4 linked regions of the Saccharomyces cerevisiae S288C genome follow. Changing the gene in region 1 together with any one later gene gives a genetic interaction. Each region holds a gene or a part of one and is shown on either strand. Other genes may lie near its edges.

What was found.
Region 2: mutations in RPL43B (region 1) and COX19 together harm fitness more than expected from each alone (negative genetic interaction), as found in Saccharomyces cerevisiae (one large-scale study listed by BioGRID).
Region 3: mutations in RPL43B (region 1) and ADR1 together harm fitness less than expected from each alone (positive genetic interaction), as found in Saccharomyces cerevisiae (one large-scale study listed by BioGRID).
Region 4: mutations in RPL43B (region 1) and TAX4 together harm fitness more than expected from each alone (negative genetic interaction), as found in Saccharomyces cerevisiae (one large-scale study listed by BioGRID).

Annotation. Positions count from the first base shown.
Region 1 is NC_001142.9:606,161-609,498, forward strand, and holds RPL43B (60S ribosomal protein eL43 RPL43B), read left to right. Parts: upstream 1-2,144; coding exon 2,145-2,146; intron 2,147-2,421; coding exon 2,422-2,698; downstream 2,699-3,338.
Region 2 is NC_001144.5:107,786-110,902, forward strand, and holds COX19 (Cox19p), read right to left. Parts: upstream 1,188-3,117; coding exon 891-1,187; downstream 1-890. Other genes in the region: serine/threonine protein kinase KNS1, read right to left, coding at 1-114; aspartate--tRNA ligase DPS1, read right to left, coding at 2,117-3,117. UniProt on the Saccharomyces cerevisiae protein: Required for the assembly of mitochondrial cytochrome c oxidase.
Region 3 is NC_001136.10:893,096-899,506, reverse strand, and holds ADR1 (DNA-binding transcription factor ADR1), read right to left. Parts: upstream 4,473-6,411; coding exon 501-4,472; downstream 1-500. Other genes in the region: YDR215C (uncharacterized protein), read left to right, coding at 5,005-5,418; AHA1 (Aha1p), read right to left, coding at 5,580-6,411. UniProt on the Saccharomyces cerevisiae protein: Required for transcriptional activation of glucose-repressible alcohol dehydrogenase (ADH2).
Region 4 is NC_001142.9:276,910-281,325, forward strand, and holds TAX4 (Tax4p), read left to right. Parts: upstream 1-1,931; coding exon 1,932-3,746; downstream 3,747-4,416. Other genes in the region: ALY2 (Aly2p), read right to left, coding at 1-1,093; IML2 (Iml2p), read left to right, coding at 4,276-4,416. UniProt on the Saccharomyces cerevisiae protein: With IRS4, acts as a positive regulator of INP51 activity and phosphatidylinositol 4,5-bisphosphate turnover. Negatively regulates signaling through the cell integrity pathway, including the MAP kinase SLT2.

The sequences.
Region 1 (3,338 bases):
ACGTTGTAAACGCAATCACCCATGGATAAGCGCTCCCTTTAAAATGCACTACGAAATCATTGATCTACTAACTTTAAACCGGACTTAAACCATCAAAGGGTGCTCTAGATCTCATCGATGTATTCTGATGCAGCCAAAATTGCGCAATCAATCACGTTTCCCGATATAGAAAACTAATTGGCTGTGTTACGTGGCTGGGGGTTCTGTAATTCCTTTCTTCCCCGGTGAATCATCAAGATTGGGCTAAGCGCCTTTGATCCTTTCCCTCGAAGACGGAAATGGGGCCGCAGGATAAAAAATGGTGTGTCTGTAATTCCGATTTTTTGCTTATGTAATCATGTAACTTTCTTCTAGTCCCTTTGCAGACATGCATGACACTTCCTTACCCGAATAGTGAGTTAGATCTGTGTTAGGATGCAGGATGGGCAGTTCAAAGGCTTTTCTTATCGTATCTTTACCTTTTCCTGTAACTAAGAAGGTTTTTGAGTGCATGTAAAGGCACATAAATGAAACTTTAATTCCCTGCGTATTTAAGACCCAAGAAGCCACCATGACGCTTCCTTGATGTTGTATCTACCCCCAATCCTGGCGCCCCCTCCTGCGGGCACGCATGCGCCTTTGATCCTTCCCCTCGAAGACGAAAAGTAAACAAAGATACGCACTTTTTTTCTCCAACGCAGTATTGAAGGTACCATCACATGCTTACTCACTTTGCGGCTGCTATAACACCGTGGCAGTGTAACGTTTTACCGTTTGTCCTTTGCTACCGCATTTTAAAGTGGTACAAGATGTTGAGAGAAAAGATTTCCTGCAGCCATGATTAGGAGAGGTAATAGCGGATGACATCAACGAATAAGCTTTATCCAGCGGCTTGTATAGTTCTGTGTACACAATTACTGCCGGGCTCTCTGAGCATTTGCGTTTCTCGGGCTAGCTTCATTACTTAGTAACTTCAAATTAATGAAATATTTAATTATCATGATTCCAAACAAAACTACTTTAATTTCAATCACATTTTTGTTATCTGCCTGAAACGATAGCTGTACGGGTACGTTCTTGATAAATAAAACTCAGTGTTTAAAACTCTCTTTTTACATCTGTTCGCCGATGATTGCTTGCTCGGAGGTACTAGTCATCGGAATTGAGGAAATTCCTTTTCTCCTTTGTTTTCTCTTTATCCCCGCGTAAATACGCGGAATGCCAATAATCAAGTACACATTCTTTCTCCAAGTTGGCCAAAAAATAGTTCAAATTCTTTAAACTAAGCGCTATTAATTATTATTAATTATATAAGTTTGAAAATATCAATGCAGGACCCTATTTCTTCACGAGGGTGTATCCAGAAACGGTTTCTTATATAGTGTTGGCGCTCACTTTTTTCCTACCCACGTCTATATATGCAACGCCTACTTGTTTTAATCAACATCACAATTTTATGCTTTTGAGGTACAGCAGTTAGCCGTACGTTTTCGGCAGTCGCTAAAAATGTAAGCGCGGCATTTACTGCCATTTAGTGGACTTCTTGAGGTTCTTTTGACATCCGCATTCTTGCAGCAAATACACCCCCACCCTTCTTTTATTGAGAATATCTACTGAACCTCCGTGAGGGAATACATTAATCAAATTACTCCAACACCATACGGGCCGTGGCGGAAAGAACAGCATGATATAGATAATATATGATATGAATTGATTTTTTTTTCTTTTTTTCTTGCGGCTGGTATGGTATTGTAAGGATGATAGTGCATTCTATGAGTGATTTTTGTGACGGTGACGTACGATCTCTATACCTTTTTAGCCGCCCATCTTCTGCCTTTCATTTTTATGCCAACCCTCCATCCATACATCCTTTTTAACCCATACATATCATTTAGATTATTGTTTTTTAATTTTTTTTTTATCAGATGTTGTTCATCGCGAAATTTATAATCTTTCGATTGAATCGCACTTGTCGTGCATAATGATAAATACCTTCCGGAGAGAAAACTCAGACCCACTGGGAAGTTCCTACCTGCCGAGTAAGACCAGCTTGAAAAATTTGAAATTTCAACTGAGAATCAGAATATATTACTGCCCTTCGTGTTGTAGGGTTATTCATTAACTATATACGATATTATAAACAGCATAGATAATCAAACAAAAAAATGTATGCATATAATAGAGGAATTGGATGACTAAATGTTCTTATATTGGAGTTAGTGGAGATGCGTGGTAGATTTGAATTAAATAGAAAGTGCTGGGGTTGATAAACCACGAAATATCGCAGTTGAGGAGAATGATAAGCCAGGATAGATGGTAGCGCATTTTTGGGGCAATCTCACTGTAGGTCCACCACAACTCAATATGACTACATCGAATCAGTTATAAGGCAAGTTTTTAGTTTACTAACAAATATTTCCATCTTATTTTTTTTTTTTGCAGGGCTAAGAGAACAAAGAAGGTCGGTATCACAGGTAAATACGGTGTCCGTTATGGTTCATCATTGAGAAGACAAGTTAAGAAGCTTGAAATTCAACAACATGCCAGATATGACTGTTCCTTCTGTGGTAAGAAGACTGTTAAGAGAGGTGCAGCTGGTATTTGGACTTGTTCCTGTTGTAAGAAGACCGTTGCCGGTGGTGCTTATACTGTTTCTACTGCAGCTGCCGCTACTGTTAGATCTACCATCAGAAGATTAAGAGAAATGGTTGAAGCTTAAACTTCTTTCATTCATTTTCTCTTGGCTTTCACTAGGTATATCTATTCCATAACGACTATGTTTTGTATTTGTTAATTTACATAAAACCATATCAGTACATCAACGAACTGTAAAAAAGAAACTTTAGCATAATTATTGCGGATATTTAAACTCACTTGCAGGTAAGAGCAAAAGGCGATTGATTTCCAGTCCGCCTCTTGTCACGTGATTTAGTAAGAAATTTTGACAGCACCCTCGGTTTAATGGAAAAGAGGGGCGTTTTTCGATGAACCCGAGGGGAGACTAGAGAATCATCTCGGTTGAATGGAGCATTATTTTTTTAGTAGCGCCCGCCCGGAGAAATGGACGTTGGCGAATGAGCCATGAATTATTAACCGCCCATGTCTACCAGATACCACATCGTATGACAGTACCAGCCTAGTCCCGGTAAACCGCAAACGGACCTTAATTGTGACGAAGGGCCCAAATTTGATGGGTCGGTGTTAATGATTAGTCCTCATTGTCATAATAAAGTGTGATGATGGAGGCAATGATGATATACGGTAGTACTACTGCTCGAGGTGCTATCTTTTAACCAATCCTTTGAGATTCTTGTCGCCACGGAGTTACTACCTTTTACAAACCGTAATGTCACATTTTG
Region 2 (3,117 bases), on another chromosome or scaffold:
ATTATCCAAAAAGGTCTTGTTAGAGCTTGTATTGTTAGCAGGGCCCGTAGTAGTGGAATTATTCATATTTGCTCTTGAACGTTTTCTAGTGCCAATTTGAATATTCTGTGACATAACTAAGGTACGCGGAAGATAAAGCAATAATGAAGAAGAGCAGTATGCGTGTAGATTAGTCTTTGTTGTGCTAAATCTTCGACTTGGTAAATACTATGTTTCTTTCACTCTTTTTCTGTCTCCCACTTTGTTTCCTTTTTCTTTTTCTTTTTTTTTTTTGGGTTTGCTTGCTATCTGGCGCAGTATTTCGTGAATATAATATCTATTTAGTTAGCGTAAGCACGAGGAGTTACTGCACTGTTTCCTTTCACTTGGTGGTGAGGTAACAATACTTTGTAAATCCGGTAGATCTGGGAAGTAAATACTAAACTTTATTCTAATATAGGAACTTCATAATATAAAATCCAACGCACGATGCTAGAGATAAAAAAAGAGGGTGGGAGATGTGGAGCCAGGATTCAAATCGAAAATCGTAATCGGAAACTAAACCAGCATTGCAACCGGGCCATAAGCCATATCGTTAAGCACGCCAAAGCTTTTTCCCTTCGCTGTGTGTTTCCTCGCAACTTTAACTCCGGCCACTCACTAAGCCAAGGCGTGAGGAGAGAGACTAAAGCTTTGTGGAAAACCGCCCAATCACGCTGACCCCTTTGGCCCGTTTGCCGCCCCCTAGAAAAAAAAGAAACGGACGGGCCTGGGCCCGCACAGCCTCGAGCAGGGTCACTTCGCGCCATATCGGCGGCTATTTCAAAAAAAGAAGTTCTTTACCAGTTGTTGTAGAAAGTATGATATTACCAACAGCGTCTAGCTTTTATTCGATATTCCGATGTGGGCGGCTATTTATTATCGGTGGCGTCTTTTATGGTTTTACCGTTGTTGCCTGGAGCATCCTCAGGAAGACCTAAATGTGACCATTCATCGTAGTCCATCAATTGGTGGTCCATCCTGCACCGCAGGTAGTCCTTTGCCAGTAGTCTACAATTCATTGCATTTTCGTTCTGCACAAGCTGCATACATTTGAGATACTCTTGCATGTACTTGGTGCATTCGCCGTCGTGGTCTAGCGGGAACGAACCTCTCTCGGGTGGAGTAGGTCTCAATGCGCTCAGCGAGCTTCCTGGGTTCCCTGACATTGGATTCTTGTGTTATGTTTCGTAAAAGATACTTTGTGTGTAGTGGGTGCGTTTGCTTGTTTTCTTGAAGTATAGAAGAAGGAAAGAACGGAAGAAAAAATTTTTTTCCCTCTTGTTCGCTTTATTTGGATTTTCTCGTTTCTCAACTCCGCGAATTTGAGCCCTTTTCTTAGACCCCGGAGAGAAGATGCAGAGATGTAGTAATAAAAGCTTTTTATCCAAAAAGCTTTTAAGCTGTTGTTTTAAAAAAGGTTAAATGGGCGCTTTAGAGATCGGGTAGTGGGCAAAGCCTGCGATAAGAAAAGAGGGAGCGTGCTACTTGACCGGGAGCAGCAAAATGGGCGGCCCGAGCCTTAGATCATACTCATCGCCGATAAGAGTCAGCTTGGTAATAGAACCGCTGGTGCGTAAATGAGGCATAGAACTTATTATCGTCTTAAAAAACTGCCCAAAAAAATATTTTCCAGGTTTCTTGAAGAGTAATCTTGTTATGTAATTTTTTTTTGCCTGTGGATTGTATAAGGGACCAGAGGCGGTCAAAAACGCAAAAAGCGGCATGGTAGGCGAAAATACTAGGACGATTACTACTCAACTGACGCGTCAACTTAATATTGTCCTGGTACATAACCGAACCATCCCAGATGCGCTGTAAGTACTGTTTAAATGTATTTTAATATGTGCATAGAGCGTGTAAATTATGGCGAGCTATGGTTTCCGAATTGTCGGACTGCTCATAGCCCTTGCTTTCGGAATATTAGAAGTGGTCTGGCGGTAAAGAAAGTGTGACATATGTCAGACGTTGAGACTTATATGTGTAAAGCTAAATATAATAATTCAGTTAAAATAAAAGTGGGTGACAGGAAAAAATTAGAAATGTTGAAAATTTTTTTACCTTCACTCGCTACATAAAAACGTTGGAGGAGACTCCTTCATGGTCTTAATCTCTTTGGATCTCTTGGGAACAATGAAGCTCTTCTGATATTTTTCAAATCCAAATAGAACATAACAACTCTTTCCAAACCGATACCACCACCGGCGTGTGGAGGACACCCATAGCTGAAGCCGTCACAGTAGTCCTTTAGACCTGGGTCCTCAGGAGACAAACCATGGGCTTTCATCCTTTCTTGTAATAGAGCATGGTCGTGGATACGTTGTGCACCGGACAAGATTTCTTCACCCCTCATGAAGAAATCATACGAGTTAGAATACTTAGGGTTGGCTGGGTCGGGCATTGTGTAGAAGGGACGGATCTCCAAGGGGAACTTGTCTAGGATGTAAAAGTCGGTGTCGTATTTGTCGCGAACCAACTTACCCAAGAACTTTTCATTTTCGGTACTCAAGTCTTCAAAATCACCAATTTCCTTACCGGCAGCTCTTAGCATTTCAATACCTTCTTTGTATGTTAGACGAACCATCTTACCATCTTTAGGTAACTTGAATTCTTCAACAGGGTATTGCTTACGTACCAACTCAATTTCATGAGCAAATCTCTTGGGCAATTCACTGAAAATAAACACAAACAACTCACTCAACGTGTCCAAAACTTCGTGGTAATGTTCTTCGAAAGCCATTTCCATGTCCAAACCAGTAAACTCGGTCATGTGACGGTGGGTGTTGGAGTTTTCAGCCCTGAACACAGGCCCGATTTCGTAAACTCTTTCAAAGTCGGCCACAATCAATTGTTGCTTGTTAAATTGTGGAGATTGAGCTAGGTAGGCCTTCCCTTTGAAGTATGTCACCTCAAACACACTGGAACCACCTTCACTTGGTGCACCCAACAGTTTTGGTGTGTGTACTTCGGTAAATTTCTTTGTGGCCAAATATTCTCTGAACAACTCACAAACACCAGCTTGAATCCTGAAAATAGCTTGGTTGGTGACGGTTCTCAAGTCAATGACACGGTAGTCTAATCTGGTGTCCAAGTTGACCA
Region 3 (6,411 bases), on another chromosome or scaffold:
TAAATAAAAAAAAATTTAGAGATTCTTAATTAAGTCTAAGAACATCCTCCCACACGCCAGGAGTGGTTAATGTTCAAGATTGGTATTAGTTATACACGGTAACCAACAACGTTGGTAAGGTCTTTTTCTTCTATACATGAATTTTAAGATCAAGCATATATTTTAGGCTTGCATCTTGTAATGAACTAACTTTCATAAATAGCTTTTCTTTTTTGTATGAGGTATAAGATGAAAAATGTTAAACATGATACAGGATTTAATATAAAATGGACCAAAATAAGGAGCAATAACGAGATTCACCCCAATGGGTGAGATGAGAAACGCCAAGGTAGTGAAATATTTTTGTGCAACAATTTCAAAGATAAGATCGGTGTTCTCCCGCAGTAGTCCACTTCAGTCGCATGCATGGCTGTTTGATGAGAAATAAAATGAGATATTCAAAATCTCATCAGAAAGAGTTGAGTACTGGGACGACACATATCAGCAACGAGACATAATCGTCAACTGTTTCCCTTTAGATGATTTTCCAAAGTGTGGAAATCACTTGCCATCTTATCTAACATGTGACAATGAATGTAGTTTTCTTTAACATTGGTGAAAAATAACTTGGCAATAGTAACATATTTCAGAGATAATTGGTACTTTTCGGCAAATCCTTGCCCCTTTCCACCATTTTTATGTTTTGATGAATGATTTTCCCCGTAACGTAAAAGATTCAAAGTAGAAACAGTTTGATGCGAATCATTTAAGCCGCTGAAGTTAATACCTTCTAGGCCGGTATCCGATAGGAAATGTGCTGAACGAGGCAAGTCTGTCACTGCCCTGTCCCCATTATCAAAGGAAAATTCATTTCGAATAGGATCCTCCATATTCAAAAAAGAGGTATCGTTAAAAGAGTTAACTAGGATTTCATTAATAAACATTGCAAGCCCTTCAACATTGATCTTTTTGGCTAACTTAGTCTTAACAGCTGCACTTGCACCATTATGGTGTTCATTTGCGGATAAACCAGGGACAAGCATACCATTATCTTTATTTATAAATTGTTGCGTAAATACAACATCAGGAAATCCAGAAAACTCTTGCGGATACAATCTTGAAAGTGTGGGAAGTAAAATAGAATTCGCAAGGCTTCTCAACTCAATAAAAATTCTCAGTAACTTAAAATTTGGAGTTGCTTCAAAATCCAATAAAAATTTGATAATTAGGATGAAGCAATAGTAATAGCCTTGTAAATTGAAGACAGAAAGCGCTTGATTATTCAGGTGGATCCTTGGCAGCTCTGGAGAATTCATTCTTTGGGAGCAATCACTTTCTTCTTCTACGTATAAAGACGAAATATTACGGATTGAAAAGTTCAACGCTACTAAAAATTCACACAATACTTCAACTGAATAATTCTTCAAAAAATTCAACCTCACAGAGTTCAAAAAGGAATCATATATCTTTGCTATTTGTCCTTTTCTAACCTTCTCAGTAAACGAGCGATCAATCTGTTTGATGAATCTCATTGACATTAAATTATTTTTCAAAATTATGGTGTCATCAATTAAGATCGCAATATTTTTATTGGTTGCTGCCATATTATCATTGCCATAGGAAGAAGTGTCAAGACTCCTCTCTAGCCTTTTCGTATCGATTCGATCCAAAAACACATGTGATTTGGTTCCTTTTCTTAAATCGTATTCATAATAAATCATAGATGACCCTAAAAATTCTGGTATTGAGTGTAAGTGTCCATACGTGAAACTGTAATAAAAGTTTCTAAAATCATAAAAATTTTGCTTTTGCACAACATGCCCATTACATATTATCGATTCACTGGCCCATTTTGACTCATTGTCGGGAATATAAATGGTTTCAACATCTTTTTCCTTTATAGACAAATCGAATTTAATATGGAAGAAACATTTCAAGAACTGACAAAAATCATAAGCCATTAAGGTGCATCTAATTTTTGACTCAAAAATGATGTATTGAAGAGGAGAACCAAATGTTAAAGGTTCATTGTTATTATTGATACTCTTCTCAGAATTTGCAGAAATTGTCGGTAAACAGTTTGATCTGATCGTTGAACATAATGCGGACAATTGCCTTTTCATCAAAGAGGAGTCAATTTTCTCCAAATAATCAGCAACTAGAGCGAACATGAAGCTCAATATTAGGGATTGCATCAACCAAATGTTCTGATAACTGTCATTTACTGTTGTACTGCGACACCTTCTTTTAGTCTCCAAAAAAGAATGTAGAATTCTTCTACTCATCTCATACAATTCTATTGTTTGAGATTTGTAACCGAACTTATGCAAAGAACCAAATGTGGCCATAAATAAGGGTAAACAAACGATTTTCGAAATGGACAAGATTTGATAGTGCTCGTAATCATATTCTTTATCTGTCCCTTGACTTAATCGATCAAACAACTGCGCGTTTTCAGCGTCATCATACCCATCCTCATTAGTATATCGTTGCAAGCTATCCAAATCCAAATCAAGCAAGCTTGGGTGAATAATAGGGAAATGGGGAAGGAAATTATTCTTGAAAAGATCTAAATATTCGTTCAATTCACTCACAGCTGGCATTAACAATTCTTTGGACAGCAAGTTTGGATTAGAGTCCATGACACTCTCACTACTATCATGACTGAACTTTTCATAGTATCTAAGCACTTTAATGCACATATTTCTCATTGGTTCATTAAATAGCTTTGATTCTATGGAATGCGATGGCTGATTGTTGTTCACAGTGGAGGCCGGCAGAGCTCTTGATATTTTCGATAACGTTAAACAATCTAACCCATAAAAAGTATAGTTGCCGCTATCTGGCTTTTCTTTCCTGTTTGACGTTGATAAAAAGTCTTCCAGGGATCGTTTAGACTCTTCTCCTTTCAAATATTGACTGAATATGGCTTGAACATCTCTGGTCATATTACATAGCTTATCCAGATCATCTTCGCGATTGGAAGGATGATCGAGTCCGAAAGAAATCAACATATCGTCATTGGTCCCCTCTTTATTCTTATAAATTAACTTATGAGGAGAAATTGGAGAGTTTGATAGGTTCAAATGGGAAAGGTCAATCTCATTTGACGTGGCGGTAGCACTTACGCTATCATCATGTAAAAGTTCAAATTCTTTTAAAACGGCAGTGGTCTCTAACAAATCATTACCTAAAGTATCATTATCCAGCAGTTCTTGAAAATCGACGAAATCAGGTTGGTTGTCTGATACCTTATTGTTATTGCTATTATTATCTATAGCAACAGTCCAAGAGGAGGACCTTGAATCCTTCAAATGATGTATAGTCGATTTAAAATCTGGGACGATTAATTTAGTGTCGTTTAATTCAGAGTTCATTGGAGAAGTTTCATCACTTTCAGATACTGAAAACAAATGATCATTATAGGCTTTTATCCAGTACGACGACGACAATAAGTCTGCGTCATTAAATGAAGCGTTCTTAGAATTCGTGTTAGCGCCGACATATGCGCGGGTTGGTGAGCCGGAAGAATATGTGTAGTTATTTGCTGATTCGGGCAATTTATAATCCAAATTCATTGTTGATCCAGAAGAATCAGAACGGTTTAATGCTATATTGAAATTGGAATCTAGATTTAGGTTTAAATCTAGATTCATATTCAGGTCAAACGAAGAGTCAAGTTCAGGATTCTTCAAGTCAAGTGGAACTAATTCAGGCGTAGAAAATTTAACACGATCCTTTGGATGTTGTTCTAGCGAAGATTGGTCGGGCAAAGCATAGCTGGATGCTGATTGTGCGCTAAATGAAGCCCTGCGCGTCAGTTTTTTCAAGTACTTACGTTTAACATTAGCTTCAGGGCTTGCTTTTCTTCTTGTATTGGCAGTAGTGCGATTCAAAAAATTACCATTATCTGGAGTACCATAGGTTGGAGTTTGAAACTTGACTGAGGATGCAGAATTTTTCCGAGCTTTAGTTATAGTTCTCGACACTTTCTTGGTATGGGAAATCGTTTCCCCTAAATTACCACTATGGATTTTTTGAGCATGCCTGATCAGTAAGTCCCTCCTAGTAAAGCATCTGTTGCAGAGGCCACAGGGATAAGGTTTTTCATTTGTATGCGATCTGTAATGTCTTTTCAAGTGCTCTTGTCTTGCGAACGCTCTCGTACAAACCTCGCAAACAAATGACCTTAGTTTCCCACTGGGGGTTCTACCATTAAGCCTTAAATTTTCGGGCAACTTGTCCAGTTGCTTGTTAATCTTGGAGTTCATATTATTATTTGTGGTAATGATCTTTCCATCTGGCGTCCTCTGTATCACAGAGAAAGTGTTTGAGTTTTCTCTGGAAGCTGATGATGACATTAATAAAATCGGTGAATCATCCGTTTCCATTTCTATTTCTTGTTTCTCATTATTGAAGCCGTTAGAAAAGCACGAATTCAAGTCAACAACGGGAAAGCCTGAACAATCGTTTGGTTTTTCTACGTTAGCCATAGTAATAGAGTATGATTATTTTTTTTATATTTTTTTTTTTTGGAAAACAAAATTCTTATAGTAAAGTAAGGAATAGTAGCAGAATATTTTTCTGAAGTGTTTATAATAAAGGGAGAACCGGGAAAGTAGCAAAATGATTGGTTAATTTATGCAAATCAATCTTATACTTCCAACGAATAAGAGGGAGTATATCAAAACAGAGTAACAATAAACTTTTGCTATGACACCTTTTCTTTCTTTCAAAGATAAAAGAATAAGGCTTTTCTATAGTAGTCGAGCAAATGTTGGAATAAGGAGGTATGGAATTTTGAAAATAGCCTGAGAAATTCAGATCAATGATATATAACTGTTGTCTTCAAAAGGTCTTCAAGGGAAGAAAATTTCCGATCGGAAGTCCAGAATAAATACCACAAGTATAGCACAATAAACAACAGCACAACAACAATAATAACAACACCTGTAGCGAAAACGTTTTCCTATTTTTAAGGCGTTGTTCTTTGAAAACCTGTGGCGAAGTAAAACATGAAAACAAATGAAAACACCGCCAAACCAAGAAAAGAACAACGAAAAAATATCACTTTTATTTAGTTCACAACGGCTAACTATCGACGTTCACCCTTCCTCAGTCTATCACATCGTCCTTAGCTCGAACAACGCCGATAGGCATCAAGTTACATTGAGCTTTACTGCACGTTCCCGCATGATGCCATTGACTAGGGCCCGCCCTTTCGGCAATCATTCTAGCATGTTCCGCATGTTCCTTGACGCCATGGTCATCCTTGCCGTCGCCTCCGGCGTTTCCCTTCCCCCTCAGCTGCCAGGGCGCCGTTCACACAACGCAAGCACACCCGGCGCCAAAAAACCGGGGAAAGACCACGGCGCTATGGTTTCGGAGTTTCCCGCCAATGGCGTTATAACTCCAGTTTATTTTCCTCTTCGTTGGTAAATTCCGGGGAGGCCGTCGGCGCCGGGCCGCAAAAGTAGGACGGGCGATCGGAGCCGCGCGGATGCCGTACAGAACTACATGATGTATTGCATTCTATCTATGCCAATAGTGGTATGTAAATATTTACGCATACTTTTATTGAAACATGAGAACAATATATCTTATAATACGGCACCAAAGCCGAATGTCAATTTAATAGAACGCACGTAGTATTCTTCAAAATTAGCGCGCACGCGATCTTCCTCGCCAACGGGTATGCCAGTCCACTTCACCTGTAATTTGGTTTCATGGAATTCTTGCGACTCATGGAAAGTCATTTCGATAGTAGAGTTGAAAGGGGCAGACCAATCCTTGAGTTTCCAGTGGAAAACAAGTTTCTTGTCCTTTTCGCATGAAACCAACTCGCTGATCACGTTGCCGCCAAAGAGCTCGAATTTTTCTTTGGTCTCCAGCTTCGGTCCGCTGTTGAAAAATTGTGCTGATCTGGTCCAGGCCAATATGCGTTGCTTATCAAGGAACGTTTCGTAGAGCTCGGAGGAAGGCACATTAAAAGTTGGTTCTAAATAAATAGATGTACTATTGCCGCTTCCGTTTTGGGGGACTTTGTTGGTGCTGGAGACTGGTGCTGAAGTTGAAGTAGAAGAGGGAAGTGCATTCTTTTTTGGCTTTGAAGCGGAGTCCTTGATTTCGGTAAAGCTACTTTTTTGGTTACCTCTTGTGTAGTTAGATTTCACCTGAGATTCGGGCACCTGAATGTCATTACCATGGGTGGCCAGCAAATCCTTGCCAAATTGTTGGAAAATTTGTCTCAACTTGGGCAATAACTCGGATCTAATTAGTGGCTTGGCTTCACTCAATTCGCTAGTCTCCTTAAATATAGATATGTCAAATTGATAGCTTGAGGCCTCGCTATCGAAGGCAACTTCAGGAACGTTAATGCTACCCTCGAATGGCAATGCCGATCCGTCCTTAGAGTCCACGTGTCCCTCTATT
Region 4 (4,416 bases), 330 kb from region 1:
ATAATTGGTTTTCCCAATCTCTAGATATGATAATCGGCTCACTTTCTTCCACAGAATTATGAGCCTGTGTCCGTACGATATTAACCACTTGCCGGGCGCTAATGTTTGATTTAAAGGCACCAGGTCTCTCTATACTGGCAAATAAGAAGTATTCCACAAATCCGAAATCAGCTTTAATAGATTCTGGGTATGCTTGAGGAATTAGTTCTTCGAAAGCATAAATATAGTCGCCTGGTTGAAAGACAAAAAATTCTCCTCCAGACCCGCTGGTGAAGTTGTTGCTTGTCATTGCCAGATGATTGCTACTGGTGGGGATATGATGACCATGATGCGATGCTGCATCATTATGGGTAAAGGTGTTATTCAACAAGTCGGAAAAGATGGAAGTGGTCGTAGGTTTATAGTTGTGGTGAGACACGGAAGGAGACGTGGCTCTCTTCAATAAATTTATCGGGGATAGGTTTCTTGATGGTCCATTGGAAGAAGTGACTGACGAAGATCTAGATCTTTGTCTACTTTCTCTGTCTTTTACGTTGACAGAGGAATTTCCAGGTGCACCTAGAGGTGACAAGTTCAACGAGGACAAACCTGATATAGAATTTTTTCTGCTTGTTATAGTTTCATTATCAGACAGTGTTCTATAAAGAGAGGCACCACTTTCCTTCGTCAAAAAATTATTAGCTGCATTGTTGCTCTCATTAGGTGCGGAAGCATCCATCTTTTTCTTGCTCTTCTGTTCAGTTGGCGGATATAGAGCCCATGTATGGTCTACAATATCTTTGATTTCCACGAATTCTTGTCTTTTAGGAGGGATACCTTCAGGCCATTCAGTTCTAGAATATCCTTTGAACGAAAGACTTATGCTTTTCAGCTTTGTGGGTTTCAGTATTCTTACCACTAGACAGCCCCGAAGAACAACCGAGGGATATTCCGTCTTCTGAGGGTCAAAGCCTTGGAGGAAAACAACTGGTTCAGCTAAATGAATAAAAAGCTGTAATGATGAACTTTGTGCCAAGGGTGTAGCATCGAGGGGGATATCAATATCCTTTTCCATGGGAAACAATGGAGATGAGATAGATTGGTCCATGGGCATCTTGAAAAATGACTGATCTACAATGAGAAAGGCTGGAAAAAAAAAAAAGATGTTTCAACGTTAAAAAAATAAAGGACTAACGGTAATGAATAGCGAAGTCTACAGACTAATTTGCCCTTTTTAGTCTCTCTCAATACTCACAGACTGCTTGTAGCGTAATTAGTACCTATTCTTAAAAGACGAAAAGGAGAACTAGCCAAGTCTTTTTTTTTTCCCAAATTGGACCATATCGGATTAAATTTCTTTTTTCCGAAACTGCAAATCCTCCAGAGAATGTTTTAATAAAGGAAAACCAATGAAAGACATTTAGCAGAATAACAAAGCAAAAAGAAATGACAGTGAAGAGTGATAGGTGAAGGCGTTGAGAAATGAGAGTTGTTGCCATGGAGGAATGGGTACTGAACCCTCTCACAGAGGCGTCACTAATTTAAAAAAGGAAAAAGGTGTTATATGTATTGGGGAAAGGAGCGATGAATTTTTGGGTGATGAATGAAACAGTGGGATGAGATGAACTACAGCAATATGGTTTGGTCTTAACGGCTGTCATGACAAACTATTGATCAGGGCCAGTATTTGTATCATTATTGTTATAATTGAGAATGAAGAAAGGTTAGCCGCTGAGAGAACCTTCTTCAAATTATGTTTTTTTTGCTTTTTTTCTTTTTGGGACGGCGCGCGATAGATGGCGCAAGGGAGTTGCTCTCCGTTCGACATCAATAAATTGGTTATAAAGTGACGTATTTGGTTCCTTTTTAGTAATTGATGAAGAGTGCGGGATGGCCTATACAAGGAAGAGTCGATTTAGTGCCGGAGAATACACGCCCTGACGTTTGTATAAATGCATTTCCCCAAAAAAAAGCATTCCGGAAATCTCTCCGTGGTGGAATTGCCGAAGGAAGCTCTCCAAGATTCTTTAACTGCTGCTCAGATTACTTTCAAGAGATATGCCCACCCCAATGGCAATGCCGGTAGCGCAGAGAGGCCGAGACATCTAAAGGTGGAATCTGCGCCTGTCGTGAAATCTGAGCCTTCTTTGCCGAGGATGAGACAACCGGAACCGAGAAGTATAAATCATCAATACTCTAGGGAAACGCTTCCAGGCCATTCTGAAGCCTTTTCCGTACCGACGACTCCTCTGCAGACAATCCATTATGATGTAAGGAATAAAGCGTCAAATTCGCCAAGTAGTATAGCAGCTGCAGAGACAGCTGCATACCTAGCCCACACAAATTCATTTAGTAACAGATCATCCGGTGTCGGCAGCCGGGATCCAGTTATGGATACTGAAACAAAACCGCCACGTGCTCCTTCAGCCTTGAAAAATGAGCTGCAATTGAACAGAATGAGGATACCTCCGCCGTCATATGATAATAATGTTCGTTCACGATCTATTTCGCCACAAGTATCCTACTCTACCTCGCTGTCATCATCGTGTTCCATAAGTTCCGATGGAGAAGAAACTTCTTATAGAGAAAAAAGCACCGATGAGGCATTTCCTCCTGAACCTTCCATGTCTTCTTATAGTCTTGCGTCCAAAGCCTCAGCAAAGGCTTCTCTAACGGACCCCTCACAGCGGCAGCAAGAGTCAGACTATACGGCAATGAATAAACTCAATGGAGGAAATATAATATATAAAGGCACTTTACCCGACCTAATACCGCGAAGCCAAAGGAAGACAAGTAAACCCAGGTTCAAGCACAGGCTTTTACGATCACCTGAGCAGCAGCAAGAAAACTTATCACGTGTGTATTCGGACCAAACGCAGAATGGTAGGGCAATCATAAACACGCAGCAAAATGTAAAGTTAAAGACAACTATGAGGCGCGGGAAGTACGCAATTACAGACAATGATGAAACTTTTCCCTACGACAGAAAGTCTGTATCATCAGACTCAGACACAGATGAAGATTCTAATGTGATGGAAATCAAGGACAAGAAGAAGAAAAGTCGTCGCTCTAAGATAAAGAAGGGGTTGAAAACAACAGCAGCTGTAGTTGGGAGTAGTACCTCTGTCCTTCCGTTCCCTCATCACCATCATCATCACCATCAGCTCCATAACCCGAATTCTCATCACTTACACACGCACCATCATACAAGTTCTCACAAATTCAATGAAGATAAACCGTGGAAATCTCATAGAGATCTCGGGTTTATTACCGAACAAGAAAGAAAAAGATACGAGTCTATGTGGGTATCAAACAGATACTCGTATTTGCGCTTGCTGCCGTGGTGGCCCTCTCTCGCGAATGAAGACGACGAGTCTCACTTACAGCCCTTAAATTTACCGCAAGACGGCCTGATGCTTAACTTAGTCGTAAAAGATATATGGTATCGATCAAACCTACCCAGGGATCTTCTAGTGCAAATATACAATATGGTCGACACAAGAAAAGACGGTACCTTAGACAGAAAATCGTTTATAGTGGGCATGTGGCTGGTTGATCAATGTCTCTATGGCCGAAAGCTAACGAATGAGCTGGACCAGAGAGTTTGGAATAGCGTTGACGGCTATGTTCTCGGTACAATTAACGTGAAGCCTGCCACTTCCGATCACTATCACAACGCTAATAACCCTCTAGATAAGCCATCAAAGCTTTCAGTCCGACAGGAATTGAAAAACATCAAACGCGATCTCAGAAATGTCAGAATATGATGCCTGGCATTATTTGCAGAAGTTCTCTTCCTGTGTTAATAATGAATGACGATGAGTTAACAATGACCCTTATGTATACAACGAAAGGACGAATGAAAGAAATGAAAATATTATCTTTTTTTTTTTTTTTCTCAATTTTCCTTCACTTTTAGAAGTTTTTCCGTTCCGCGGATTTTGTTCGTCGGACCTTTTGCTTTATTTGTCTCCAGATCTCTCGAGCATAATGGTCGTTTTTCATTTCATGCTTATAGTCTTTGTCTTTCCAGCGGTACCCCCACCCCCTATCTTGGGCTATTTTCTAATTTCGTCCCTCGGATTATTTAATTCATATTCTCCCCACCTTTGTATTACTAAATTTATTTTCCAATGCTCTTTTCACTCATTCTTCCTTTTGCATATTTCTATCAGTATATATAGCGAATTGTATATATAAGCGTCTTGTTACCGGTATAGGAATTACCTGATAGAAAGAAATAGAACATAATAGGAGGAAGGGCAAACAGTGCGCCAAAACGAAAGATAGTAGAAGATGTTTAGAGTATTTGGTTCATTTGGATCAAAGGGTAATCAATCTTCTGGTGAAGAGCAATCAACAAAGACAAAACAGGTTCTGAAGCAGGCTAATGACTTTGAGATCGCCTTAAAGGCAATGGATTTTGTCCTTGATGAT